Linked DNA regions of Oreochromis niloticus. The protein of the gene in region 4 purifies or fractionates together with the protein of the main gene of each other region. This does not show direct contact. Links are inferred from orthologs where the notes say so. Each region holds a gene or a part of one and is shown on either strand. Other genes may lie near its edges.

The links.
Region 1: the proteins of histone deacetylase 2 (region 4) and ehmt1b purify together in Homo sapiens (affinity purification with mass spectrometry; 3 studies listed by BioGRID and IntAct, with this or other methods). This does not show direct contact. The link is inferred for Oreochromis niloticus from reciprocal best matches to the Homo sapiens genes HDAC2 and EHMT1.
Region 2: the proteins of histone deacetylase 2 (region 4) and hells purify together in Homo sapiens (affinity purification with western blotting; 3 studies listed by BioGRID, with this or other methods). This does not show direct contact. The link is inferred for Oreochromis niloticus from reciprocal best matches to the Homo sapiens genes HDAC2 and HELLS.
Region 3: the proteins of histone deacetylase 2 (region 4) and sirt1 purify together in Homo sapiens (affinity purification with mass spectrometry; 3 studies listed by BioGRID and IntAct, with this or other methods). This does not show direct contact. The link is inferred for Oreochromis niloticus from reciprocal best matches to the Homo sapiens genes HDAC2 and SIRT1.

What each region holds. Positions count from the first base shown.
Region 1 is NC_031972.2:31,100,131-31,107,909, forward strand, and holds the start of ehmt1b (histone-lysine N-methyltransferase EHMT1), read right to left. Parts: upstream 3,011-7,779; 5' UTR 2,921-3,010; coding exon 2,831-2,920; intron 1-2,830. UniProt on the Homo sapiens protein: Histone methyltransferase that specifically mono- and dimethylates 'Lys-9' of histone H3 (H3K9me1 and H3K9me2, respectively) in euchromatin.
Region 2 is NC_031978.2:31,195,223-31,203,054, forward strand, and holds the start of hells (lymphoid-specific helicase), read right to left. Parts: upstream 3,023-7,832; 5' UTR 2,625-3,022; coding exon 2,617-2,624; intron 2,007-2,616; exon of another isoform or gene 1,865-2,006; intron 1,663-1,864; coding exon 1,565-1,662; intron 1,304-1,564; coding exon 1,185-1,303; intron 830-1,184; coding exon 707-829; intron 617-706; coding exon 575-616; intron 493-574; coding exon 459-492; intron 1-458. UniProt on the Homo sapiens protein: Plays an essential role in normal development and survival. Involved in regulation of the expansion or survival of lymphoid cells. Required for de novo or maintenance DNA methylation. May control silencing of the imprinted CDKN1C gene through DNA methylation.
Region 3 is NC_031978.2:25,306,129-25,313,195, reverse strand, and holds the start of sirt1 (NAD-dependent protein deacetylase sirtuin-1), read right to left. Parts: upstream 3,016-7,067; 5' UTR 2,974-3,015; coding exon 2,568-2,973; intron 2,144-2,567; coding exon 2,021-2,143; intron 1,857-2,020; coding exon 1,621-1,856; intron 1,519-1,620; coding exon 1,366-1,518; intron 87-1,365; coding exon 1-86. Other genes in the region: dnajc12 (dnaJ homolog subfamily C member 12), read left to right, coding at 3,671-3,748, 4,301-4,379, 4,649-4,788, 4,869-5,013, 5,898-5,980. UniProt on the Homo sapiens protein: NAD-dependent protein deacetylase that links transcriptional regulation directly to intracellular energetics and participates in the coordination of several separated cellular functions such as cell cycle, response to DNA damage, metabolism, apoptosis and autophagy.
Region 4 is NC_031980.2:30,566,491-30,573,508, reverse strand, and holds the start of histone deacetylase 2, read right to left. Parts: upstream 3,013-7,018; 5' UTR 2,874-3,012; coding exon 2,819-2,873; intron 1,293-2,818; coding exon 1,180-1,292; intron 1,088-1,179; coding exon 970-1,087; intron 693-969; coding exon 618-692; intron 1-617. UniProt on the Homo sapiens protein: Histone deacetylase that catalyzes the deacetylation of lysine residues on the N-terminal part of the core histones (H2A, H2B, H3 and H4).

The DNA.
Region 1 (7,779 bases), on a different chromosome or scaffold from region 4:
GTCCTAGAAAGCCTTCATTAAAAAGCTGTCCAGGATAAATCTATTATTATCCATTATAACAAAAATGTGTTTTTGAAAAGACCCCGTAGTTAAAAATCCTAAAAAGAGACTGCTAAGCCTAAATTATTTACATTGAGTTAATGCTAAGTAAAACAGAGTCATCCGAGAAATAATAAAGACAATCTCAAAGACGTCATCAGTGTGGTATTTTAAACAAGAAATAAATTTATGTTCTGAGATGGTCACATCACAGGAAAATGTTACACTAACTACCCAGATAAAGAATTTAACTGCTCTCCAAAAGCTGATAAACACTAATTTCACTGTGTTCGTTTCTGGCTGACCTCCAGAGAAGAAAGGACTACTGTTGCTAGCTTCAGTCCTAGAAATAAAGTCCTGGTTGAGATCAAGTATACCAGACCTGGGATCTTCAGTAGAGAAATAGCTGAATTATATCAAGGTCTGTCACAACGACAATGAACCAGCCAAAGGCAGAAAACAGAGTGTTAATAAAGCTTTAATATTATGAAACTCTGTACATGCCTGTGAATTAAAAGTTATACATCTCTCCCCCTTTATCTAGATAGATGCTTCAAAATAATTGCCTAAGGGCATTGCCAAGTGGCAAAAGAGGGACTCTGGTTAAACATCACTTGCTTGCCGATGTCAGTGCTAGCAAAATACCTCTAATATAAAAACTGTGAAAATGCTAGCTAGATACCTTGCCAAAGTGTGACAACACCTTGGCAATAACCACAAGGCAGGGACTGTTAACCAGACAGCTATAAGTCAGCTATGCAAAAAGCATCTGGCACGTGTAGCTTCTTCACACTCAAGTGGACCATGATGCCTTTACACTAATCAGTGTTACTGCACAGACTGTGTTTCAGAGAACGTTCAAAGTATGCTGTCTACTCAAGTATATTTAGTGAGACGTTTAAACATTCATTTTTTATTGATCCGAGAGAACCAGGCCACCTGTGATCAAATCAATAGTGGACAGTAGCCCTTATTTTGAAAGTTTAGTTACTGTTAAACACCTAGCTATGTTGCTTCCTGGCTCATGTTTTGAGTCAAACCACAGCCAACAGCAAGTGTAAAGCTCCTACACTGAGACAGCAGAGCAAAAGGATGACAACGAGCTGCAGTCAAAGTCTGGAGAGGATTTGAAGTCTATCAGAAGGATGATAGACTCAATGGAGAGGCAGCTGATCAGTTTGTTCTGTTATTTGTCACACAGTACATTCTAATATGTTTCTTATCCAACCGCTTATCCTCCAGTACAGGCTTTCGGGGGATCTGGAGCCTATCTCAACCATGACAACAGGAATAGACTAGTGACTTGTCCAGAGTCTACCTGGACAGGTCATAAAGTCTATGTCCCAGGGCTAACCCACAGACAACTGTTCACACTCACATTCAAGCCTGCTGCTAATTTAATTGCCAAATAGCCTAATATGAATTTTTTTGGACTGTGGGAGGAGTACCTGTAAAGGACCCACCAAGCACAGCTAGAACATACAAACTTTACACAGACAGCCCACAGCTGACCATTTGATTTGGACCCAGGATCTTGGGCAACACAATGGTATGGTGTAGTAGGGATGTGCACAACTAGTTGTCTATGAACTAATCGTTGCTACTGTAACTAGTCAGTACCAGATGAACTAGTAGTTTGATGCCCAATGTCGGTAAACTGCTGTGTCCTAAATGTTATGCAGTCATCTGCCACCAGGTGGAGCACTGATGTTGAGAAATTCCATAAGTCTATTACTCTAGGCCTGATCTTTTTGTTAACATCATTGTCATTAATTCTTTTAAAGTTGAAAGAATGAGATTGCAGATACAAGCAGGGAAAATGAGCTTTCTCTAAAAGGTGGATGGGCTCTCCCTTACTATAGGGTAAGGCGTTTAGTCATTTGGTAGAGGCTGAGGATAGCCCACTACTCCGCTACATCGAAAGGAGCCAGCTAAGGCGGTCATCCCCTGGGTAAGGTATTCTGGTCTGGCATGTCCAACCGGGAAGCAGCCCCAGGGTAGATCCAGGACACGGTGGAGAGATTACGTCTCTTGAGAACACCTCAATGTTCCCCGGATAAGCTGGAGGAGGTGACTGGCAAGAGGGAGGTCTCTGTGACCCAACTTCAGATAAGTGGCAGAAAATTGATAGATGGATGAGTTATCATTTTGTCATTTTAATTTTAAGTTTAACTGAAGTGGTTGTCTTGAATTTTAAATCGAACAACATGCACCATTCATAATCCAGAGCACATTTATAAGTTTTCCGGATATCTGGATCTGTTTCGAGAATAGACCGTATTGTTCATAATCCACGATGCGAGGTGCTGCTCAGTTAAGCAACATGATTCATTATTGATGAATATGATTAATAGTTTTCAAATTTTATTAACAGTTTTCAAATACTTGTGTAGAGTTTTTGAAATTCTCAAATTTAACTTGATATCTGAGTGTTTTAGTTTCAGCATATAGCACATGCAATAACACAACAGTGCATCATCAGTGAGCATGTGCACTGAACAAATCTATTAATCAAGATGCTCAACAGCTGCAGGGGTCAAATAGTACCAACAACTTACTACAAATACAACAAAATCCCTACAACAGCATAGACCATGTTATAAGACAATGAAGACCAAATGAAACCTGTTACATGCATATATTCAGAATAGGCACGGCTTAGACACAAAAAAATGTAAACAATGCAATATCAAATTTGAATCAATAAAAACATTACCATTTTACCATATATCTTATTTGAAAATGTATCAATACACCTTAAAAAGTCAATACCACACATCTGTTATTTTACCTTAATAGATGACTTCATGGGCTTTAGCGTGTCTGCTTTTTTGAAATCTTTAGAATATTTGTCATAAGTGTGCCTGCTACACAGAACCATTTGGCAGCATCACGATTTCCTTATTAAGGCAATTTCATCTTGACAATATAAAATCAACCACAGGAGCCCAAAGCACTGCTCGACATTTGTCCAAGGCTGTTCTCCGACGTCATCTCCTGTCTGAATGAGACACAGATGTAACCAGTGTACACTAAGTAAAGAGGAAATTAGAAACACCTGTACAATATAATGCCAAGCCCCTTTCACCCAGCTAAAGACCTAATAATGGAATTGGCAATGGCCTAGCGTTTGTATAGTGCTTTTCTAGTCTTAAGCTTTGTACTTGAAAGTAGGGCAGGGCAATGTGGCCAAAATATTTATCAGTATATATATATATTTGAAAATCTGCGATAACAATATAAACTGACGATATAATTGACGTGAGACAAAATACTTTACAACTCCACAACTTTATTAGTGCAAAAAAAAAAACCCAAAAAAAAACCAAAAAAAAAAAACCCATCAGTGTATTTTCACTTAAACAAGCAGCTGTTTTTTTATGTGCAATAAAGCTATATAAAATTTAACAGTGCAAATGCAAATTCCTTGCTGACAGTTTAACCAAAAGGCATTTCCAGTGGAAACTGGCCAACATATCCTGAGCTTAACCATGTATAATATCCACAAAACTTAAAAGGAGGTTTACACACACAATACGGTAATATTATGTTGACGCACAGTACGTATTACTCTGCGAGGCTCCTGACTACAATAGCTGTAATGCTCCAACAATCCATCAAGCGTTACGGCTTCGTAACTTACGAAAGTCGTACTAAAACATTTGACAGATTTTTTGAGCGCCGTGTACCACATAAGATCGGTTCGAGGTCAGTAAGCACAACCAGAATTCACAGATGAGGCACACCAGATTATAAGGGGCACTGTCAATTTTTTTAGAAAAATCAAAGGATTGATTTTAAGTGTGCCTTATTTTCCGAAAAACACGGTAATAACGACGGCCTGCTGGCATGCTCTACCAAAAATTGTGCTTTGGTGTGTATCTCACGGACGAAAGCCAAACCAGTTCCACACCACTGAAGTTGCACCATTTTTACAAACCAATTCTGGTTCATCTGTTTCATACAACGATCCGCTTTCGCCCTTCTCATTCTCTGTTGCTGCCATGCTTTTTCCGACATGTGTGTATGAAAGCAAAGGCACTGCGCATGCGCGTTTTACCCATATTCTATCGCGATATTTCATTTTCTCATCATTGCCTAACATTATACCGGAATTATCGTGAACGGTATGATATGGCCCAGCCCTAGTTGAAAGTTTACCACCAGGAGACATTTGAATATCCAGCTGAGTGGGTAACCCTCCAATATACATGCCAGTCAATGGTCTCCTTCACTCCCATTGGTAAGACACTTCAATCGCTCACCTGTCGTCAACTGAAGTTGCTGAATGTCACTGATATTCTATATTCTCCTAATATATTTATTCATTTATTTTTTTTTTTAAACAGAGTATAAATCTAAGTGAGTGAACCTATTATTTCAACAGGAACATGTTTACTGCATGATGTTTGTTAAACAGTGGATTCTCTTAGCTTTAAATGTAATTCAACTGAAAATCAAATAAACATGACACAGGTTCATTTGACAATGAGTTGGGCCGGGACTAGCGGGTCTTTTTGACAGTGAAGCCCATCTCGCAAAGGCAAGTAGATTGCTGTCAGAACCCCCCCCCCAAAATACCCCTCTGTCTATGCAGAAGCCTCTGGGAAAACCAACTCTTGGCTCATTTGCTCCATGACTTTGTAAACACTCATTGTAAGTGTCAGAAAGAAGGACTTAGGCTATAACTCATGAATCACAAGCTGTTATTCAGTGTGTGGTCTCACCATGATATCCATCCATCACATATCACGTATAGGTTCAAAACACAAATAGCCCTTTTCCACTGGTACCTACTCGTCTCGGGTTTTCCACTAGGTGGTAGCACCTAGTACCAGGTACTTTTTTTTATTACCTACTCAGCTGGGGTTCCACGTGATCTTAGGCAATCCGAAAATGTGACATCAACAGTCTGCATGCTACCGACTGGCTATTCAGTGGCATCACTCGATGAGTCATGAAAGAGTCTCTCTTTTGAAAATCAAAACCACTCTTATTGAAACTTCGCAATGACGGGAATGGGTGCACAAAGAAAGAATACCGTAGTCCCCAAACAAAAAGTCATACACCAACCAGCAGGTATACCGACGTCTTGATGTCCTCCATTGTTGTGGTGTTGTGTCGCATACAAATGATGTCACTGGACTTTCAGCTGCGTTTCTATAAGGACCCCATGCACACTAAATGGTACTTGATTGTAATGGAAAATGACTGTGTGGCAGGGCATGGTCTATGGCGCAGGTGCAGGGGAAGCAGACACACCTGACCGCCATCTGCAATCATCGTTTACAGTGGCACCAAAACCCAGAAATCGGGCATGGCGAAACTGCGACTGGTGCTAAACCAAATGGTGGGCGAGAGAGCGGAGGGAGCAGGTGGCGGTGTTACGCCGCCAGTGGGAACAGCTGCAGGACCGCAGAGTGCCGGATGCAGCTGTTGCAAGTCTGGCAGCTTGGATCGGGTCCTGGCTGACACTGCCGCCTCCCCCATCGGCATCCCTCGACCGTATGGCAGTGGCTGGTGTCCGTTCTGCTCCGGCACCCCTTGCCAGTCCCCAGGGTGAGGCCAGCCAAGGCACAGCCTACCTCCGCACCAGTACGGACTCCTCAGGTGGGAGTGGCTAGTACCCGGCAGGTGCCTGTATCTGTTCCTGTTCCCTGGAGGAGGGCAGCCGAGCAACCTCCACTTCCACCACCTGCTCAGCCCAACGTGGTGGACAGCGTGCCAGAGGGACCTGCTCTGCCAGAGCTGGGGATCGGGGCGCCAGAGGGACTTTATCAGCCTGAGCTGGTTGACAGCATGCGGGAGAGTCCTGCTCAGCCAGAGCCGGAGGTCAGAGTGCAGGAGGGACCTGCGCACCAGCTGGACCTGCCTCGTTTCTACCAGAGGCCAGCGTGCGGTGGGACCCTGCGTGCCGGCCGCCTGCGAACCTCGGCTCACGTCCACGACTGCTGCGCCAGCGGCACTTGCCACTAGGGCTGCCACAAACGATTATTTTGATAGTCGACTAGTCACCGATTATTTTTGCGATTAGTCGACTAATCAGATCATGCATCCATTGGACGTAAAATGTACACCTGAAAATATGTTAAACGTTTATTTTGTGACCCAGAAAGAATAATAATTGTAATATTAAAACTAACTAGCTGCCGCCATTGTTGACAACTGCGCTGGGCCGCGCTATGAATTCTGGAACACAGTTTCTTCTTCTTCGGGGTTTAACGGCAGCTGGCATCCTTGTACATGCAGTGCTGCCATCTTCTGTTTCAGTCCGTTATTACACTCTTAAATACTACTACTTATTCCTGCGTCTTTTGGGATCTTACAAAGCTTCAAACGACGCGTCGACTATTAAATTAGTCGTCGACGATTTTAATAGTCGACGTAATCGTGACTAGTCGACTAATCGTGGCAGCCCTACTTGCCACACAGCTGAACCAATACATCCCTGCTGCTGAATAGGTTCGCCCGGATGGCTCCCCGGCCTCAGTTAGGCGATGGGGGTATGTGGCAAGGCGTGGTCTGCAGTGTGGCTGCAGGGGAGGCGGACACACCTGAGCGGCATCAGCAATCACGCCTCACCGGCTTAAAAGCAGAATGAACTGGGTCCTGTTGTTGTTAGTGGTGTGTTTAGCTGGCAACTGAAAAGCTGCCGCCATGCGCAAGTTATAACAACTGGAAATAACAGAAAGTGCTGAAAAGTGTAAAAATGTGGTCAAGTCTGCCATGCTTTGTTTACAGACTGAAACCATGTCGAACCAAGCAGGTGGGGAAAGGGCTATAAAATTATGAAAACAATCAGCTAAAGGCTTCATAATAGGCCGTCAAACAATCGAAAAATGTCATAACACAGATGGTGCTGGCTGAAAGATCTCTTTTAGTCATCTTTGCTCGAGCTGAACTAGGTCTGAGCCTCTGGCAGGGTTGAAAGCTTTGTTATTTTGGTTTTCATAATCATTGGAAGCCAAAACATTAATTTACATTAAAATTGAATTAGTTGCCCTGCCTGATCTTTACTAGAGATGGACCGATCCGATATTAGGTATCGGTATCGGTCCGATACTGACCTAAATTACTGGATCGGATATCGGCCAGAAATAAAAAATGTAATCCGATCCATTAAATATCAAAAAAGCACCTCACAAAACTTGCGACACGGTGTAACTCGGCTCATAACCGTAGCACATCGGAGCAGTGTGCTCACTTGATAGAGCGGCTGTGTGTATTTGTAGCCTCTACCAAACCAGCATTTCATCTCCGAGGAAGTTATCCCAGAGAGAAGTAAAGCAAGTGTGTAAGTTCATCTCTGAATGTTTGTAAAGCGTTCCCACGTTAAGCTTAACAACCGATATATGGAGCGACTGCCTCTCTCCCTCCCTCTCCTGCCGCTACTTCATGAAACTGCTTAATGATCAGCTGATCGGCTTTTCTGTCGCGAGTCCGTCTCTCTTCTTTGTTTTTGGCACACTTTGCACCAGAAAGAGGAAACCAGCGGCTGAACAACAGCAGCACGTTTAACCTTGATAAGGTGTCGTTAGAATTTATTTAATATTACTTTCTACACCAGGATCCTTTTCTACGTAGCTGACGGACGGCTGGTAACTGTGCAGGGGCGGATCTAGCAAAGTTTAGCCAGGGGGGCCGATATGGCATTAACAGGGAAAAGGGGGCACAAAGACATACTTTTGCTCCTTATTCTCATTTAAAATGTCTAGCTTTTAATAAATAATTATCTGAATC
Region 2 (7,832 bases), on a different chromosome or scaffold from region 4:
ATCTTCTTGACACATCCCTTTGTCCCCACTGTACATCGTTTAAACTGCACAGCCTGAGTATTGTGGATGACCACATTCACGCCTTTATGAACACAGTGTACCCACAGTGTGATTAAAGTGCCATGCCACAAATCTCAGATCAGTTTCTCCAGCATGACAGAAGTTTACTGTACTCAGATCGTCTCCACAGTCACCAGATCTCAATCCAATCTTTGGGTTGTGGTGGACCAGGAGAGCTGCTTTGTGGATATGCAGCCATCAAATCTGCAAACTGTATGATGGTAAAATGCCAGTATGGACTGTTTCCAACACCTATGCTAGAATTATGACAGAAAGCACAACAGGGTCCCAGTACTAGCAAGGTGTACCTAATAAAGTGTGCATAGAGTGTAAATGCTACTAAACAACTGACATCTGAGCTCCATACTGTAAGTTTAAATATTAGAATACTGGCTCACCTCTGTCAGCTTCTGCACCGTTGGCATTTTGCTTCTAAAAGGAAACAAACTGCCGTGAGTATGGCTGGAAACATGATTGTAACTGTAAATGATGACTTTTTCAATAAATCTATCACCTTCTTGGCTTTCTTCTCAAGTTTCTCCTTCCTGAGTCTCTCCTGAGATGGTCATTAGCAGAGCAGAAGTGACGTGTTAGCCTTGAGTGAACAGGTGCAAAAAGTCTGTACGGTCCAAATTTTACACCATACCTCATTCTGTTGTTGCTCCATTTTTGTCAGCAGAAACTTTGAATAGATGTTGCTCTTCTGAAGCAAATGCTGGAGCCTCTTGAACCGCATGTCATGCGAGTCCCTCTCCCAAGACTCCCTGGCCTTATGGGAAAGGTTGAAAGCAATTACATTAACATGAGTGGGCTCGAAAGCGTCCAGCACATCAGTGATGTAGAAACATCTCAATTGTGGCTCATCATCACATGAACTCCCTGATCTTGTGGACCGGTGAGCTACAGACACACATCTATACGCTTTTTACTCCCTAAAATCTGTACCAGCATCGCACCCACACAAACAACCCAACTAAAACTAATGTTTTACTTTTACTAATGTTTTAAAACTAATGAGTTTAATAATGAGAAGTTATTAATTTCAACATTTAATCTGATAAAATATGCCAGTTTTGGATAGTTTAAAAAATACAACTCCCACGTTGAGAAATTAAACGACATACCTTTTTCATCATCTCCTTCTCTTTCCTCTCGCCTTGCTCCATTAGCTTCTTCTCTTCTTCCTCCATTTCCTTAGTAATCACCACTTCAGGTGTTATTCCCTCAGACTTCATACTCTCATCTTAAAAAACAACAACAACACTGACAGTGACACGACCTGAACAAGTCTATGTGCACAGCATCTTTTCAGTAACACAAGTGTAAGATAATTAGCCTTTACTAGTTAATGAGCATGTGATATGGAGCCCTGTTCCTAATGAACTGGCCACATCTCATCAGTGTCACCTGAGAATTAAGCAACATGACAGCAAAGCACATGCCTCATCAAACTGGCTCTATCTCAGCTTGCTTTGCAGCTCTGTAGGTCAAAAATGGAACTTACCTTCAGTAGCACCAGTTTCAATGGCTGTGCCCAGCGGCTCCTCAGACTCGTCAGGTTTGGGGCAGTGAGGGGAGACACTTCGAGTTTCTTCTTTTAGGCTATCAGCAGAAAAATGAAATCTACTCAGTAAAACTTTTCCTGCCATTTTTCAGAGGTGAGTAAACACCATTTAGACCCTTCCTAGGCCCTGTAACCGAGGTGAAATGATACATTTGATTTGAAGGGATGAAATACAACACGAGTATTTCAATACTCTGCATATAACTTTGGTGCTAAGCTAATGTAGATACTATACTTTACCATACAGGATGCAGTTTCAGACAGTTTTTCTGTGCTGTCTGAAACGTGATAATCGGTGAACATCTGTGACTCAGAATATTGCAAGTTGTTGTTATAACTTCTGGTTAATTAATGGTGATAAAAAAAATCTTCCAGATCGCTGCAGAAAAGGGATGTATGCTATTTATTTATTTTTTCTCTGGGTGGGAGTTGTAAGGGTGCATTTGTCCAACACACGGTGGCCTTGGTAACAGTAAACGTGCATCGAAGCTTTACAGAGAAGAAAATGATACTTTATCGGAAATTGTAACTATTATGTTAGGAACGAGGAGACTCAGGGCTGCAGTATTACAGCGGGCATACTGCCGCCTTTGCGTTCACCTGTACAGGTCTTTGAGCCGAGTTATTACAGTGCACGTATGCTCCACGCGTCACACATGTGTCGCGTACCTCTCGAGTTTTGTTACTGGCGCGAGTGTACGATCGTGTCGGATTTAATGATATTCCAGCACAGCAGCTCAGAGACATACACATATACAGAAGGAGATGTTGGCGTAGGTGAAAACTTTAGTGGGTTTTTTTTGGGGGGGGGGGACACTGGACAAAGTCTTGGCTTCCGGTCTTGCATTCTCCTAAAAAACGCTTAGTGTCTGAGGGGCGACACCTACCGACGCATATCGTTCAGAGCCGTACTGCAGCGACTTCCTGCACCGTAAATAAAAGTTTCTGTGAAACGCGGTAGCTGCGGTGAGTGAAGCGACCATTACACTTACCAACTCATCGTTGTTGGCAGCGATGCAGACAGTCCAAATTATGCGGGTTCTTCGAGCTTTCTGTGAAGCTTTTCAAAGCGTTCCGTTTCTGCTCAAAACAGCAGAGCTTCGTCAATTACACAAGCAAGTTATCCAAACAGTCATACAACTCACTCTACCTAGCCTAGCTGACTGCTTGTATTTATGATAGCTGTGCAATGTCGGAGCAGTATGTCCGAAAATGTTCCTTTCTCTAAAACGTGAAAAAACATTCAACGAAAAGAGTTTGACGTGAGTACTCTGCAGCCCGAATAACGTGTTTTTTATTAAGCAGACAGAAATATGAAATGTACTTCCGACAGCAGCCTTTCAAACAAAAAGTGCGTCCGCGAAAAAGCTACGTTGAAGTTACGATTGTATTTTATTTTGAAGGCAAATTCATCTAGTTTCCGCCATTTGTCTCTACAGTCCTGAAGCTAAGATTTTTATAATGGGCGGAGCTTTCCAATTTCGCGCCATTTCGGAGGAAACCACTATTTGTGAAACGGGGTGGTGTGTGATTTAAGGTAGAAGATAATAACATTTTGGTTCACATTAATCGAAACGTAGCAAAAAAAAATTGTAATTAATTAACTAATAATTAAAAGGTTGTCTGATTTATACATTACAGAATATCGTATGTATAGACAAAACTATTTTAAGAGGATGGTCACCCCTCTGAGTGGAAAGATGTTTTATAACTGATGTGATTTTTCCCGCGAATGTAAGGCTGTGCAGTGAGCAAATGACAAAAAAAAAACCTCTCTCTCAGTCGGGAAACTAGACGGTTGCTTGTTTGCTGGCACCAGCTGTTTTTTATTAATAGTTTTAATCCCTCAGACTCAGGATTAAATAGAAGCCTTCAACAGTAATGATGGGAAATATTTTCTGCAGAATAACTGTTTATTTTGGATACAACCTGTCCATAATACATTGTGTAGTGAAGTATCTTCATAGTGTTTTAGCTATTCTTTTGCAAATGGAATGGTTTGCAAAAATATCCTCCACAACCTGTTGAAGCCGCTATGGTTGCCTGACATCCAAAACCAGGCCTCCCTACGCCTGGTTCTGCTGGAGGTTTCTTCCTTTTAAAAGGGATTTTTTTTTCCCTTCCAAGGAAAAGCACTTGCTCACCTGGGTCGTCTGATTGTAGGGTCCTAACCTTACAATAGAAACCACCTTGAGGCAACTGTTACTGTGACTTGTCACTATATAAATAAAATTGAATTTAAAAATTGAATAGTTGTATGAAACCAGTGACTTCAAGAATCAGGATTGGCCCTTCAGTTAGCCATTCAAGGTGTGTGTCATACATTAGCAGCTGGTTCATTTGTGCTTTCTTTAGCCAGTAGGTGTGAATCATGTCAGGACATGATATGATTTATACTCATTTATACTCACTGCAATGCAAATAGTTATAATTCTGAACAGCCCTCAACTGTTTGTATGACCAGCACCTTTTTATTAATGGTTAAGAGCATGAAAGTTATGTCTCTGACTAATTCATGCTGCAGACTTCAGATAAGTGACACAACCATGTAATATATACTCATTATTGATGAGCTCGGTATAAAACAGCAGTCCACGTGTAAATATTCAGCTACCCCAGGCTGTGTTGTTTTGCAGCCATACTGAAGTGGACAGTAGCTTTCAACACCATTCTTCCCTCAGTTCTGAAGGACAAGCTGGAGAACTCTGGAGTGGACCATCACCTCACAGCATGGATACTGGACTACCTCACCGACCGACCACAGTATGTGAGGACTCAGGGCTGTGTGTCGGACAGGGTCGTCTGCAGTACGGGGGCCCCACAGGGAACGGTTCTGGCTCCGTTCCTCTTCACCATCTGCACTGCAGACTTCTCCCACAACTCCACCCAGTGCTTCCTGCAGAAGTTCTCTGATGACTCTCCAATAGTCGGCCTTATCACTGATGGGGACGACAAGGAGTACAGAGGACTGACCCAAGACTTTGTGGACTGGTGCCAGCTGAACTACCTCCAGATCAATGCCAGTAAAACCAAGGAGCTGGTGGTAGACTTTCGCAGGCACAAACATCCTCCACTGCAACCACTGAACATCCAAGGTATGGACATTGAGGCTGTGGACAGCTACAGGTACCTTGGTGTTCATCTGAACAACAAACTGGACTGGACTCATAACTCAGACGCCCTCTACAGGAAAGGGCAGAGCAGGCTGTACCTGCTGCGGAGACTCAGGTCGTTTGGAGTGGAGGGCCCACTCCTGAAGACCTTCTATGACTCTGTGGTGGCCTCTGCCATTTTTTATGGTGTGGTCTGCTGGGGCGGCAGCATCTCTGCTGGGGACAGGAAGAGACTGAACAGGCTGATCCGAAGGGCCAGCTCTGTTCTACGATGCCCTCTGGACCCAGTGGAGGTGGTGAGTGACAGGAGAATGGCGGCTAAGCTGTCATCCCTGTTGGACAACATCTCCCACCCCATGCAGGAGACTGTGACAGCACTGAGCAGCTCCTTCAGTGGGAGACTGCGGCACCCACGGTGTGGGACGGAGAGATTTCGCAGGTCTTTCCTCCCCACTGCTGTCAGACTTCACAACAAAGACTTCAACTGATCAAACACACACATCCACACATGTGCAATAACACTAATGTGCAATACTCCTTTCTGGCATCGTTGTATTTTTACTCAGTTGTATATAGCATTTGTATTCTATTTTTATCTTATTGTATATTTTATTCTACTGTATATAGTATTTTATTTTATTTTATTCTATTCTGTACAGTTGTGTACTATATTTATTCTTATTGTATTCTAATTTTTGCTTCATAACTTTTGCACTGTCCACTTCCTGCTGTGACAAAACAAATTTCCCACGTGTGGGACTAATAATAAAGGTTATCTTATGTTTAACATTCACACAAAATCGCAGCATACAAAGATTCCTGGATGAACACAGCAACTAAATCCCAAACATAATTCACTTCATCTATCAGTGGCGGCTGCAAATATAGGCGTTTAATTAAAACATGTTTAGCCATTACATATAATTATACCTGGTGACACTGCTCCTGTGTAAATAAGCAGCTGATAAATGAACTTTGGTCCTTGAAGGTCTGACAGTTTGTGACTAGAGGCTTTAATCTGCATTGCTGCAGGATTTAGACCTGAACTAAACTTTCAGAGATTTACAGAAATCAGCAGACTCAATTCTGAGAATTTAGAGAACCATTTTAAGTTTTTATCTCCTACTACTGTAATTATCCTTTTCTCATTTTCTTGTTTTTAACCTTGGTTACTTTTGTTCATTTTTCTTCCATTTATCTTATTCTTTCATCTGGATTATATTTTGTTCATTCCCATTGTGCTTTTGAAATCCAGCTATTTCCCTCTTCATGTAAACTAGCAGTCAAAAGTTTGGACAACACCTTCTTTTTCTTTATTTTTACTACTTTGTACATTGTAGATACATACTGACGAAATCAGCTATATGAAGCAAGATACATGGAATTATGTATCAAAGAAAAAATGGATAAATAACTAAATAGATAGAAATATGTTTTATATTTTAGATTCCTGAAAGTAGCCACACTTTGCTTTGTTGACAGCGCTGCAAACCCTTTGCCTTCTCCCAATGAACTTCCTGATGTAGTCACCTGACATGGTTTCACTTCACAGGTGTGCCTGTCAGGGTTCATTTGTGGAATTTCTTGCCTTCTTAATGGAGTTGGGATCATCAGTTATGTTGTGCAGAAGTCAGGTTGGTAAACAACTGACAGGTTGAGAGATTCAATCAGCTAAGTAAAGAGAAACAACAGTCCATCATGACTTTAACTGAAGGTCAGTCAGTCCTAAAAATTGCTAAAACTCTGAATGTGTCCCCAAGTGCAGTTGCAATACCCATCAAACACTAATAGCAAATAGCTGCTAAGCTATTTGACCATAAAACCACGACTAAGGAAAAGCAACTAGCAGAAGAGATTTGTTTGGGCCAAGAAACACAAGGAGTGGACATTAGACCAGTGGAAATCTGTGCTTTGGTCTGATGAGTCCTGGCCTCCAGTCACCTGACCTAAACCCAATGGAGATGGTTTGGGATGAGATGGACCGCAGAGTGAAGGCAAAAGGACCAACAAGTGCTCAGCATCTGTGAGAACTCCTTCAAGACTGTTGGAAAACCATTTCAGGTGACGACCTCATGAAGCTCATGGAGAGAATGCCCAGAGTGTGAAAAGCAATAATCAAAGCAAAAGGTGGATATTTGGAACAATCTACAATATGAAACATGTTGAGGTATTTCACACTTTTCTGTTTACATAATTCCATCTGTGTTCATTCATAGTTTTGATGCCTTCAGTGAGAATCTACAATGTAAATAGTCATGAAAATAAAGAAAAAACATTTAATGAGAAAGTGTGTCCAAACCTTTGACTGAGAGTGTATATTATCTTGGATTTTTCTCGCCCCCCCCTCCAGAGGGACAGCTGAACCACAGTTGAGTCTGCAGATATTGCAAAGTCTGATCAGAAAGGCCTCAGTGTTCTTTTCTTTGCCGAGTATTTAAAATGACATGTTTTAGGGTTCAAATGCTTCAGCTCAGCTAATATTAACTGATGCTCCAGGGGTTCAGGCTACAGGTTATTTCAGGACAGCAAGTGGAATTCCTTACAATTTATGTGCATCCAGCGACACACACAATGACCATCGTGTTGTGACTTCTTCTTATCCAGAGTTTGTTTCAAACTGAATCCAGTCGCCTTTATTATGAAACGAACATTGTATTTTATATATGCAACTCAGTGTTCAGTATTGTGGTTAGACGCAGAAATTTGCAGACCCTGTGTTATCTGACAGCGGATATGCCATAAAACTTAAATAAATACACTTTTTTTTTTTTTTTTTTTTTTACATCTTACTAAAACTCCCAGACACATCCTCCCATTTCATACAGTCCAGTAATACAATATTTATTTTCAATTTAAGTGTTACATTTTGAGCAACCAAGTTACAGTTGTCTTCAGCCACAAATTTAATGCAGAGAAAGTGAAAACTGTTTCAATAATGGTTGGAACAAAACAGAACCAAATCTGATTTTACAGATATATACATAATGTTTATGTACATATACTGTTACACTACACTAAAGATGCTTAACAGTTGAGACACTGTTGTGCAGAGGTTTGTGAGAAAACCTGGAAAAAAAACAAAAAACAAAACAAAC
Region 3 (7,067 bases), on a different chromosome or scaffold from region 4:
TAATTGCGCAGCAGCTTTCTTTGCTTATCTAGCATAGATATAAATCTATGACAGGGAGAAGGTTCAAACTGCCCAGGGTAAATCTCCTGTAATATAAAATTATGCATTCAGTACTTGTGAAGAAAATGCAAACATTGCTATAGTCATATACCCCCACCATGGCTTTTCTGGACCATATTTAAACCCTTAATAACTGTTCATATTTCATGCCTCATAGTATGGCTTGAATATATTTTATAATAATAAATGAGTGATCAATCTTTAAAACAATTTAAAACATTTTTCAGGGTGCAGTATTAACTGACTTAGAACACAATATATATACAAAATGCTTATTGCAAACTAGTCTGTGCATTCAAAGCAGTGCTAGGAAACCTTGCATGTGTGGGACTTCCACATCAGTTTTCCACACTCACTGAAATGGCAGCTCAGGTCCTTTTGTAATGTTATGACCCAACCCATATTATGAGATCTGTTTTAATCTCTATTAGCTAATACATACAGCACTTTATTCAGTGTACTTAATTGCAATTTTATTCATGAAGCACATTTATTAATATGTAAACACAATGTGCTTAAGAGAGAAGATAAAAACATAAAATCCTGTGTAAGTTTACAAGACACACCCACACAGCTATTGAACTTTAAGCACTTTTTTCAACCAGGAAAAGTATTGCTGTGAGGCAACAGTGCTACCCACTATACCACGATATGCTCCTGTATATGGACCGCCTTCCCACCCTATTACAGATATTGTGTCTGTGATAAGGGACCCTCTGACTTCTGTATAGCCTCTGTTTTTTTGTGCATCTTATATGATCACTCCTATGTTCTTTTACTATTTTACTGTTTGGAGAATTCCCCACGATCTTTTAAATTTCCCGTCTCTGCAGGGGCCTGGTCAAATGTGGTGGGAACACAAACAGTTCTTGTGATAAAATTTTAAGTTACTTTCGGAAAATTAAACAATTTCAAGCTAAAAGACATATGTTTTTTTTTTCTTTACTGTTGCCAAATGTCAAAATGGGTCAAATTTAACTGAACATTATGTTATGTTTAAGTTAACTTAAAAAACAGGCTCTGATTCTCCATTTAAAAGTCAGTGTAAACATGGGGGTGTGGGGCACCGTATTAAACAACATTACAAAATTTAACAGGAACTCAGAAGCGGCTTACATTTAAGTAGTTTCCCTTTATTATATTTTCTAAATGTCAACACCCTTTCACAGAATGAAAGTGCATAATCCTCTAGTCATGTAGACCTTGCAGTGGTCTACATGAAGAGATTTATGGTTTGGATTAAGATTATTAATTCTTTGTTAGGGAGCATTCAAATTGTTATTCTATTGTTTGTGTAACACCAACCTTAGCAAACTTAAAAAACGGTCTAGGGTCCCGTCTGAAGTACTCAATGTCAAACATAGCTTGAGGATCTGGAAGATCTGGAAAATCTACAGCAAGCCGTGCATAAATTCCATCTCTGGAGCGGAAGTCTGGTATTCCACATGAAACTGAAACCTACAACAAATAAAATAAAAATAATAAAGAGATGCAATGAACACTAATACTAAAAATCGAATTTACACAGTAGAGCTACATGATAAAGTAAAAAATGCATACCCCAGCACCAGTCAGCACTAGGATCCTTTTACTTTCATGTAGTAGCCTGACCACATCTTCTAAGGTATTAATATCTTTCCGCTTCTTTCTTTTTGGAGGCTCTGAGATGTTGATGATGATCTGCCACAATGTCATGTCATCTAAATCTGGTGGGAGTACAGTCTCAGGCAGCAAATCCCTCAGGATGGCCCTTGGATCTGTCTCTCTAATGTGCTGCTGGATGAAACTGTAGGAACCTGCGAGCAAGAACATAACATCTCAGTATGGCTGGATTTCCAAAACACACATACTTGTGCAATGCAAACAATTATTATGTGGTTTAAATATATAGATAAACACTAAATACATATCATAAGTGGCGTAATCTAAGATACTGTAGTTTATTAATGATGTTAGTTACCTATTTGCGGTTGAGGAGTCCAGTCGCTGGAGCTTGCATGTGAGGACCTGTCATCGTCTTCAGTGATGTGCTCTGGAGTGACAGCCAAACCGTTGGAGGGAAGATCATCGTGCCCAAGAAAATCTAAGTACAGACATGGAGAAATTTAACTAAATATGACTAGATACAAGTCGGGACTCTCTTTAATAACTGCTATGACCCGTTACAAAAGTAAATCGGTGAAAACAGCCTCTCAAAGTGAACTTTCAACCGGCTAACAAACGCCAAATTGCTCTCAAAGTTTTGCGTGGTTATGAAAAAGTTAAATGGACAAACTTGTGCTGACAGGATCACTGATAGAGAGTTAGCGAAATATAATTTAGTGGAAAAGTTCCCGTTTTTAGGAGTACAGGAGTTCTCGACACCCACACAGCATTACTGTATTTAACATTAGCTAAGTTAACTGTTTCACATGGAGCCAGTTAGCTCACCGGTTAAGTTGGCAAAGAGAATTTTTCTCACTGAAAGTCACTCAAATACTCAAAGTTTTTTTTTCTCTTTTTTATACCTGGACTGTCCTCGGTTCCGCCAAAGACAGCGGTGTCGTCAAGTTTCCCCACTGGCTTGTGAGTCTCGGAGAGCAATACTTCCAGTCCATTGTTGTCTCCGCCTAGCGCTGCCGGGGCCTGTTCTACCGCCATCACCGGCTTCGCTTCCTTCTCCGCGGGCTGCGCACAATTCAACGCCGCCTCCCAGCTCTCAGTTGCCGCGGAGACGCACGAGAACTGGTCCGCTTCGACGGCTTTCAGTCCATAGTTAGTCCCTGGACTGATTTTCGAAATCTTAGCGTGAGGTTCCCCCGTATCGGAGGCGCCCGAAAAGGCCGTTTTCAGACTGTTCTCTCCGTCCGCCATCTTCAGCCCGCAGAGCCGCTGAGCAGGAGCCTTCCTCTCGGACAGCTGGCTCATTTGCATAGCACACGTGACTCGTTCTCCACCAGTAGTCCCGAGCGAAACGCCCCCCTCTACGTCGCTGACATTATACCATAACAAATATTGTTGCCTTCAAGTGCTGTCGGATGATTTCTAATCATAGGTTAGCCCTCACGAATCTTTCAAGCCTTTCGGTGATGTGTTTCGCGTAAATATAAACGATTTTATATTGACGTGTAGTCGTTGTAAACTTAATTAATGCCCCAGTTACAAATCTGTCATTTTCTTTTTTCGTTGCCACACAAGCCTTAAGTATGTGAAAGAAATTTAGTTTTACTACATAAAAATATAACATTTCTAATTTCCTAAAGCTACCATTGCCTTTGTTTCTTAGCCAGATGAATAAACGAATTTTCTAGTAAGCAGGACCATTATCAAGACCCTTGAATGCATCATACGTCATACGGTGAAAAGGGGCAGCTGGGCTCTCCCAACAACTCAGGAGAGATCTCCCTTGAAAATTTCAACAGTTTAATAATCCCTGAAATCTAACGCTAGCTGACAAAACCATACTAAGACAAACTTTGCTAACAGTTAGTAGTTAGCTAGTTGGTTATAGTGAGTGAGTGAGTGAGAGGGGGAACCCTTTGGCAACCCTTTAACTGATCAGCTGTGATCACGTTCAGCAGCATTTGTGGTCCGTTAAAAGAAGCCATACGTGCTTCTCCGACAGATTTTTATGGAGGCTGTTTTGAGCTGTAAACCTGAGGATTTGGAGGATTACTACGGGTTACTGGGATGTGATGAACTGTCATCGGTAAGTTCTGGTCAGTGGGTTTAAGGCTCAGACTATTTGCTGGGTTGCTGAACGGATATAGTCTCGATCTATAAGTCAGTAATTATTTAGGGAGAAATGGGGGTTAAAAACATAAAATACTACATGAGACATCAACGATCAATAGCCTGTACACTGCTGAGCCAAAAAATGTAAAAATAAAAATGTATGTGTGCCTCAGATTAGGCTGAACCAACTGAGACCTGTTGATGTGAAACTAGTCGTGCGTCATCCAGTGTCTGCCAGCCAGCATTTAAATTCATTTGTGTATAACTAGATTAGATATGGAATCAGTGTGATTTTTTTAAATGTATCTTACTAAAATAAATCTTTGATTAGCAACATCAACACACATATCCACTGCGGTCTTGTGATCGCCAATTTTCACTCAATATATTACTCAACAATCAGCAACAGTCATAGACTGGCAGAGCTGAGGGTCTCAAATAGTCAATAACACGGTCAAGATAACATCGATCTGATTGATTAGATCACATCAGACTATGAGGTTTGTTTTGTTTTGTTGTCCTGCAGACCGAACAGATTCTCAATGAATACAAGATTCGAGCCTTGGCATGTCATCCAGACAAACACCTCGACAGCCCAAGAGCAGGTAATGCACACACACCACTAACTGTGTGTGAGTCATATTTCATATAACCTTTTTTTCATAGACCGAAGCAATAAAGTAATACGAAGTGTGTTATTACCGCTTCAATGCCTCTTAATTCACACTTTTCTTACATAGCTAATGTCTGTTTCTGACATCTTAACTTCAAAGCAAATAATGCTAATAGAGGGGATGCTTACAGCTGTACACAGTGAATTGTTTTGTTTAATTTTTAATTTTATATTAGAACCCCTTTTTTTCTGTTGTGAAAGTGGCAGATTTCCAGAAGCTGCAGGAAGCCAAAGAGGTTTTATGTGATGAAAACAAAAGGAAAAACTATGATCTTTGGAAAAGAAGTGGAGTTATGATCCCATTTCACGACTGGCAGGCCTTGAACGACTCAGTGAAAACTGTATGTAATGTCTTCACTTTGGATTCTTCAAAACACTGTGCAATCATTGACGCTTAAAAAACCTGCTAATCTGTTTACAGTCAATGCACTGGGCTGTGAGAAATAAGAAGGAACCAATGTTGGAGGCCTCCAAACCAGAAGACCCCATCACGTCACAAGCAGAGAGCTTTCACTGTGAGCAACAGGAAACGGGGAAATCTTCGTGTGAAAGCACGACATACTCAGGTAACTGAAATTTATTCTGATTCTTTAAAGCAAGATGTTGCTGGAGAGCAATACATAACAACACACAAAATACAAGTAAGGAAGTGGTCAGTGCCATAGGATCCTTATTTTTGAAAGTCAGACGTGAGAAACGTTTAATTGATACCAGTATGATAGACGTGATTTGGTGTATTTTCGATCTAATTTCACTGCAGAGAGGCAATGGATATTCAGAGCAGCTGCTCAAGAGCTTCTCTGCTCTTATATTAACCTCATGGAATATAAAAGTAGGAGCTCTTTAGTGCTCATATTAAAGAGGGGCTGCACGCCCACCCAGTGTTTTGTGAGGTTTTGCATTTTGCACTTCAAAGCTACCACTTTAAAGCACTGATTTCATTTTACTTTGGTTATAATTTCAGGTTCAGCAATTATTCACAACTTGGCTGTGAGACCCTGTTAGTAGTTTCCTCTTAGCTAGCTTTTAGCATCAGTCTTCAGGGCTGACAGGACAGGGCTGTTTTCCTGAGATTCTACAGAAGCTCGCTGTGGATTCCTTTTTCCTTTATAATACTGCCACAAAATGTTTCAAATATTTGCCGCTAAAGAGCACTGTAAGGACTTTGTTCCCCAACTAATTTTTAGAGTTAGAAGTCAGTCATAACCTCTGGGATAAACACTTGCAAGTCAGTATTACTATAGCTGAAACACAGGTATGATTATGGACTTTCCTCCACAAGCATCAGTACAGCTTATAGTCAAGCCGAGTACACAACAGGCTTGAGTACTCAGTGAAGGATCTGAACTGTTCCTCATGTGAATTTCTTCTAGAGTAAACAGCAGCTGTTTAAAAAGTGCTGAACTGCTTAAAGGGAAGTGAAGTGACTTTTTTTTTATCATTGCTGCAGGTGATTTCTGCCATCGACGCTTCCGCTGGGCTGGTGACTCTCCATCTAATCTGCTGCGGAAATTCCGAAATTATGAAATCTAAATATATTAAAACTTTCATGTTGTCTAAGTGTTGCTAGACTTGGGACCATTTTATTGTAATGCCAGCTTTTATAGAGTATGTTTAGGTGTTGTGCAGCTGTGACATCATTAACTGTCTCACTGTTGCAAAGCTAACTGTCAGGTATATGTTATGTTTGGCTAAATACTTTAATATTAATATTATTTTTCTTGCTTGGTGTGTACCTTCCCTACAGTTTGTTGTAAAGACAGCATTCTGGCACCAAATTGCTTCCTCATTTTTTTCTGTCATGTTTGAATTATTTAATGTGTCGTCACTAATATCTCCTCATTCAGGTGAATGGGAGGGCTATAGAGGACTAATTAACCACCAGAAAAAGAGAGCCAGAAAAATGTTACTTCAGCTATCATTTTACCACCGAATCATAAGAAATTTGTCTTTTTTCTTACAATGTCTCCCTCAATGTCTTCCAGATGTATACTTTGTGATCTGGAGACATTTGAGTGAGACGAGTTCCATCTAACTGCCCAATAGACTTATATGAAGTCTATAGGCAGTCTATTGCGCAGTGAGATGGAATACATATATATGTATCTCTCTCAGTAACATACAGTGGAGGCATGATTGTGCGTGATCTTATTGTTTGCTGTAATGTATGTGTGTTTGTATTAGTATTATTCTCTGACTTCTTCAGCTTTGTTTGAGGCCAAACTAATTCTTTGAATAGAAGCCTTAAGTTTTCCACAATTGTGTTTTAGTACAGCATATTTACACCCACCCTTTATCAGAGGGAAGTCACAACTTGTGGTCTATAGCTAAATATAATATGTTATTTTGTAAAGATATAAAATCACTTATTGTTTAGTTTGTTTCACTGCACTGTCAGAAGACATATATTTTAAATGTTCAGTAGCAAACCATATGAAGTGAACACAGGGTTTCAAATCTTTAAGGTGGGAGTCGGAATCAAGAAAAAAGACACATGATTGATGTTATGTTTTCTGGTGCTCTTGCTAATATAAATATGGTTAAATATCGCAATTAAAATAAACAATAATAATAATAAAAAATAAAGATTACCTGTAAAAGCAGCTGTTAAAAATAGCAG
Region 4 (7,018 bases):
TTCAGGAGTCCCACCAAATCCTCAGGATTACAAAGGTGGTTCACAAAGTTACGCAAAACAAGATTAGTATTCATTATTATAGGGTCTTGTAGGGGATTCAATCCTGACCTGTTATTCCAATGACAGTCATGTCTCTAGGAATATTATCCTTCCAAATACAATGTAGAAATGACTGAGAACCACAAGACTTTTTAGATACAAATAATTGTGTTATTCTGTTAAATTGACAGCGTCTATTAATGTTACAAATAGGCAGGACTGTTGTTACAGATAGGTACAATGTCGCTGAAACAGGAGGTTTATGACTTCCTGATGTTCCTCACAAAATATTGTGAGTGTTGTGAATGTCATCACGTGGTGCATGTTCCTGCTTGTCTGCTGTGGCTCTGTGGGAAGTAGTGTGTCAGCTGGCAGAGGCAAAGACAGCACTGTGGGCACTGATACTGCTATAAATGAGTAACTAATCCGATCATCAGTTTTAGTATCAGTTAGGATCTGAGTATCTATTTTACAGTATATCTCTAACATAATCATTCAGATAGCTTGACTCAACTGACTTATCAAGACCTTTTATATGACCGCTTAGCAACATCTGATTCATCATTAGCACAACTTACCAGCTGAACCACCAGCAGACAGTTGGCAGAACTCAAACAAGCCATCGAATACCGGACAGTCCTCCCCAACATTGACTGCAGAGTAAATAAATACATAAATAAATAGGAAACCCCAAAACAGGAAGGTGTTCAAAATTCCTACTACAGAACTTTCTTACTCATACACCATAACCTAAAACTCCACAACTTCCTGACTGTTCAGTGTTCACATCTCAGACAATTACACTCTTTGGCTGAGTAAATAGTTTGAGCAGTATGAATGGAAACAGAAGAGCAGAGGAGCTCCTTGTATTCCGTACTTGGAATAGTTTACAAAATTCTGTAATGTCCCAAAGAGGACACGATGACTTACACCTCTGCATCTGTTTGCTGAACTCTGACATGTTGTCTGGTCGTATGGATCGGAGGAACTTGATGTAGTCATCACTGTGATATTTTGTCATCTCGTCTGCAGTGGCTTTGTGTGGCCTCTGAAACACAAGACAAACCAGCTGGGTGGAAACTACAACAAGGAAGGCCAGAACTTACGGTATGCTTAGTGTCACATGCTTGGAAAACATACATAGACCTCCATCTTCCTGTACAGTCCATAGTTCAGAAGTAAGTTGTGGGTCATCCGGATACGATGTGGTTTCATGGGGTGCCCCTGTCCATAGTAATAATTTCCTATGTCACCTGCAAAGACAAAAGGAACGAGATGAGAAACACATTTCCATCCGATAATAATTATTAATTGAAGCTGTGAATGAAAATAAAAATGGATGCTTTTCAGGGTCTCTCTGACCAACAAAAGAGATTTTACACTCCAAGTCACAGTCACTCATTTACATATTCTATAAAAAAGCACATTTTGTATTTTTCATCAAAATTGACAAAATGCAAAATGTGTGCACTGTGCTTCTTTTTTCCCCCTTCTTAATTATTGGCTGTTCCTGTTCTAATAGTGACCACAAACACCAAACAAAAAGACCAAATAAAACCCCCATATGTTAAGGTATTAGCTGTTTTAAATCTTTGAGATATTCTGTGGCTGCTAACTTAACAACTAGCATGACACAAGCATAATGCTAGAACAGCAAATAACAGAAAAGGAAAGCGAACAGAGTTTTTCTCAAAACAACAACAGCGGGCAACAACAGCAAGATCAGTCACGGTGTAATACCATAAGTATCATTCAAGCATTTTTAATGTAACTGGAAAACTATGTTTGCTTACCACCAAGAAGTAGATCACAAGACTGTGCAGGTCAAACAGTGATGTTTACTTCAATTTTACCTGCACATGCAGTTATCCTACAATAGCTCACTACACCTTCTTCAGACTATGAATGAACTCCTGATCTCAGTTGCCAATATTATTAAAAAGTATAAAGTTCACGAGGCTGTAGCCAACCACCCAGTACACGGGTGCAAGAGCAAATGCAACCTCAGAGGAATAGCACGGACAGTAGAAAAGAGAAAAAAACAACTGGGTTGTTGTGTTTAGTGAGACATAAAAAGCAACATAAAAACAACAATAACACAGCATTTGACTGTTAAACATTCAGAGGAAAACTGAATGCACGGTTGAGTTCTAGTACATGTAAACTGAATGCAGGGCTATGTGTGAACAAAGTTAGTTTTTACTGCGAGTCTCTGCAAACCTCTGACAAGACACTGTAACTATGTTCCCTGTACACGAGGAATACAAATAAGTGGTTTCTCTTATGAGATAGTGTGATGTTAGACAACACGGTGATACGCTCTAATAAGGCCTGAGCACTTAATTGTGTGCAACAGTGGCACATTTTGCTTTATTATTTTCACGAATGTAACTCTGACGTCGACTCATCAGTTCCTAATCATTTTGATTTGACAGAGGTAACGAGGTGTACAAAGCCCGTGCACAAAGTTATACAATCGTGACAATGAATGCTTGTGTCGCTAATTCTCAACATTAATTTAACCGAAGCCCTCCTCTTTTCTCTGGCTCGGTTTACGTAAGGTGATTTTTTAAAACTTTTACTCATTTTAACAGTTAACACACGAATACTCTCTTTGCACCGCGGAGACCTTTCAAACGCTGGTCATTAGCGCCTACTCGTTAGCTTGCTAGTGTTATTTTCACCATTCACCAGCAGCTACACTGACTAGCTGGCTAGCGTTAGCCTGCCAGATGGCTCAGTTTGGGCTCCCCATTCACACGCTCAGGATGTCCCATACCGTCGTAGTAGTAGCAGACCTTCTTCTTTGTCCCACCTGCGGTCGTGTAAGCCATTTTAAAAGTTCCTCTAGAAATAAAAAGTTGGTTTGAATGTGCTTGAGCAGACAGAAGATGGGATGGACGGCATCAACACATAACTACACACGGCGGAAAGTCGGTGAATGGGAGGCGCAACTTCGGCGGGGAGGGGCGGGTCAGACAACTTCGGTAGGCCACTTACCCCACCGCGAGGAGTCCCACTCAACCCAGAGTATGGTAAAATGGACTTTCAAGGATGTGTGAAACATGGTAAAAACGCGCTTCATAAAATTCAGTTCCACCGCTTTATCCTTTACATTAATTAATTTCTTACTACCATGCAATAGAATTAGAATTAGATTTTTTTTTCTCCAGTTTTCACCTGGTTTGGTTGCATATTTATCCCAGAGAGAATTTTCTGATTTCCTGCATTGTGCTAGATATCACAAAAGTCATTTTTGGGCAATGCCCTGATTTTATTCTGCGCTTTAAAGGAATTTTAAGAGAGTAATATCAAAAAAGCCAGTATAGATTTGCACATGGACTTAAGGCAGAGCTGGGGCTGTTAACTTATCAGGTTGTACAAGAGTACTAATCAGTTCTTCTTCTTATCCACAGTTAAAGTGTTGTTATGGAGCTATATCTGAGTGGAAGGCTTTTGAGAACCAGACCACATTTTAACAAGTCTGATATCTGAACATTATATATCTATATAGTGAAAGTTGGGGAAATGTCCACTTAAAGAAAATCATGGCAGACAGAATCCTCTCATAGCTTGACATAAGTGGTTCCAAATTCTTTGTGCACCGGTAATCCTGTACAGTACTGTTCAGATACAACGCAATCAATGCCAATGTAGAAATCTCTGATATATATGACTATATGTGTAGTGTGTAAATTTTTTGCTCCACTGCCCCTGCATTTTCCAAATGCAGACATTTTTACTTTAAAAAAAATATTGATATTGTAGCGGGTCAGGGTTGTTAAGGGGTTTTGTTATTATAGTTCTGTTTTCTGTTGTCATAGTGATGAGTGACGCGCTCTCTCGGGGAGAGAGCGCCTTTTTTGTTCTTATGTTGTTGTTGCCGCGCTGAGGAGGGAGGTAGCGGCAGTGTTCTGGGCCGGTTGTAAATAAACGGGTGCTCCCAAAGAAACCTCTGTCTCCTCCGTGTCTGAGCTCGCCACATTGGTGTCAGAAGTGGGATTGCTCACCCTCGCCATAATGGAGAGAGACATTCGGAGGCTGGAGCAAGCTGTCGAGGAGAGCATCCGCTGCTTGGGAAGCTGGCGATCGAGGAGAGAGGAAGCGAGCAGCCATGTAAGTCCCCCGACGGGTCCCGACGGCGCGAGCGCACCGCAGCGGCGGCCCATCGCGACAGACGCTGGGGCAATGCTTCATGGGCTGCCTCTGTCGACCGACACACCGAGCCCCCGACAGCGAGCAGTGATGCCTGCAACGCCAGCTAAGGTACCGAAATACAACGGGCTAACCCCGCTAGAGCCCTACCTCTCACAAGTACGGCTAGCCGCGAGGCATAATGTCTGGAGCGACGAAGAGGCTGCTACACACCTAGCGCTAGCATTGGAAGGAGATGCACTGCAGGTACTCCTTGACCTAGCCCCGTCGGAGCAGCATGAGCTCCAGGCCCTCACCATAGCACTCGAGAGGCGATTCGGGCAGCGGCACTCCACTGATCAGAGCAGAGAGCAGCTGACCAACCGGAGCCGTCGGCCGGGGGAGAGCCTGGGCACCTTTGCAGTGGACGTGTTGCTGCATGCTCGTCGTGGCTACCCGGAGTTCCCAGCAGCAGCCCATGAGGAGCTTAGCCTGCATGCTTTTCTGCGAGGACGTTTTCCAGAGCGACTATGCCAACACGTCCGCCTGGCCATGCCTCAAACTCTCTGTGAGGCGCTCCTTGAGGCTGAGAGGGCCGAGCTGGTGTTCACCTCGCAACCTAACCAGCAGGTGCCCCCCCCAAACATGGAGGAGATGTTCGCCCCACCATTTCCCTGATACGACCTGGCGTGCTCCCTGGAACGTCCGGGCCATTGGTGAAGGGTTGGTCGCCCACCGACACCCAGCTGATGACGGTGACGGGTGAGAGGGCTGATATGCGGGGGAAGAAACCGTTGCGGGTCCGAGTGAAGGATCTGGAGCTGGTGCATGACTTCTGGCTTGCTGACATTCAAGACCAGTGCATCATCGGCCTTGATCTGCTGACCCACTGGGGGGCCTGCGTCGACACCGCAAAGCGGGCTATCACTCTTGGCACAGAGACTCTTGCCCTCCAGTGCGGTCAAAAGCAGGGAGCAGAGGGAACCAGAGCCAGACGAGACAGGCGTCGGGCGGCTGCCGCTCAGCAGATTTCGGGTGCTGGTGGCTCCGGGTCATCTCTACTCACCTCAGCCCCGGCCTCTCAGCCCGACAAATCTCCCTCGACCGAGACAACCGAGGCTGTTGGTGACCTGTGGCAGCGCAGCAGCGTAGGTCTCAACGTTGACCAGCGCCAGCGGTTGAGGTGCCTCCTGGACGAGAATGTGGACATCTTTGCCGCCAGTGACAAAGACTGCAGGCAGACGGGGCTGGTCCAGCACACCATCGACACCGGCTCTGCTCAACCCATCCGTCTGCACCCGCACCGGCTGCCCCTCTCCAAACGGCAGGTGGCGGAGGAAAAGATCCGTGAGATGGCTGCGGCTGGGGTGATCGAGCCGTCCAACAGCCCATGGGCGGCACCCGTAGTCCTGGTGTGAAGAAGGATGGCAGCCTGAGGTTCTGCGTGGATTTTCGCTGTCTGAACGCAGTCACCAAGAAGGACTCGTACCCGCTTCCACGGATCGACGAGGCCCTGGATTACGTTACCGGCTCCAGCTGGTTCAGCTCCCTCGACCTACGCAGTGGCTACTGGCAGGTGGAGCTAGCCCCCGAAGCAAGGCCTAAGACTGCATTCACCATTGGACAGGGGCTGTGGCAGTTCAGGGTCATGCCATTTGGGCTTTGCAATGCGCCAGCGACGTTTGAGAGGCTGATGGAGAGGGTGCTCGTGAACATCCCTCGTAGCCGCTGTGTTGTGTACCTGGATGACCTGTTGGTGCACGGTGGCGACTTCGACAGTGCACTGTCTCACCTGAGCGAGGTCTTCAGCGCCATCCGTCGAGCTGGGCTGCGGCTCAACCCTGCGAAGTGCCGGGTGTTGGCGAGAGAGACTACGTTCTTGGGCCATGTGATCAGCGCTCAAGGTATCGCCACCGATTCCACAAAGGTGGCTGCGGTCAGGGACTGGCCGACTCCCTCGAACGTCAAAGAACTGCGGAGCTTCCTGGGCCTAGCCTCCTACTACCGTCGGTTCATCAAGGGGTTTGCGATGATGGCCAGCCCCCTCCACCGCCTGACTGACAAGTGCCAGCTGTTTGGCTGGGGTGATGCCTGCACTGCGGCTTTTGCACAGCTGAAGGAGGCCCTCACCAGAGCCCCAGTTCTGGCCTACCCCGACGCCCGGCAACCTTTCATTGTGGACACTGACGCTAGCAATGTAGGAGTCGGGGCGGTCCTTTCCCAGCAGGGCGAGGCTGGAGAACGAGTGGTGGCATACTTCAGCCGTGCTCTGGGGCGAGCCGAGAGCAACTACTGCGTGACCCGGCGGGAGCTGCTGGCCGTAGTGCTAGCGGTGCGGCACTTCCGGCCATACCTGCACGGCTGCCGGTTCCTCCTGCGCACTGACCATGCATCTCTGACCTGGCTCCTGAATTTCAAACACCCAGAAGGTCAGGTGGCCCGCTGGCTGGAGGTCCTTCAGGGCTACGACTTTGAGATCCAGCATCGGGCAGGTCGGCAGCATGGCAACGCTGATGCCCTCTCCAGACGGCCCTGCATGGCCGTCGAGTGCCGCTACTGTCTGCAACAGGAGGAGCGGGCCCAGGAGGTGCTGGGGGTGGCTACTGCTCAGGCCACAGCCAGCGGAGGGGGGTGGCTCCCATTGACAATGCAGCAGCTGAAGCGGGAGCAGGAGGCCGACGCGACGTTGGTTCAGGTGGGGGCCTGGCTGGAGGCGGCGCAACGCCCAGACTGGACGGGGGTGTCGGGTCAGGAGCCCGAGGTGAAGGCCTACTACTCCCAGCACAACAACCTGGAGACCCACGACGGCCTCCTGTACCGGAGATGGCAGGCCCCCGGTCAGGGC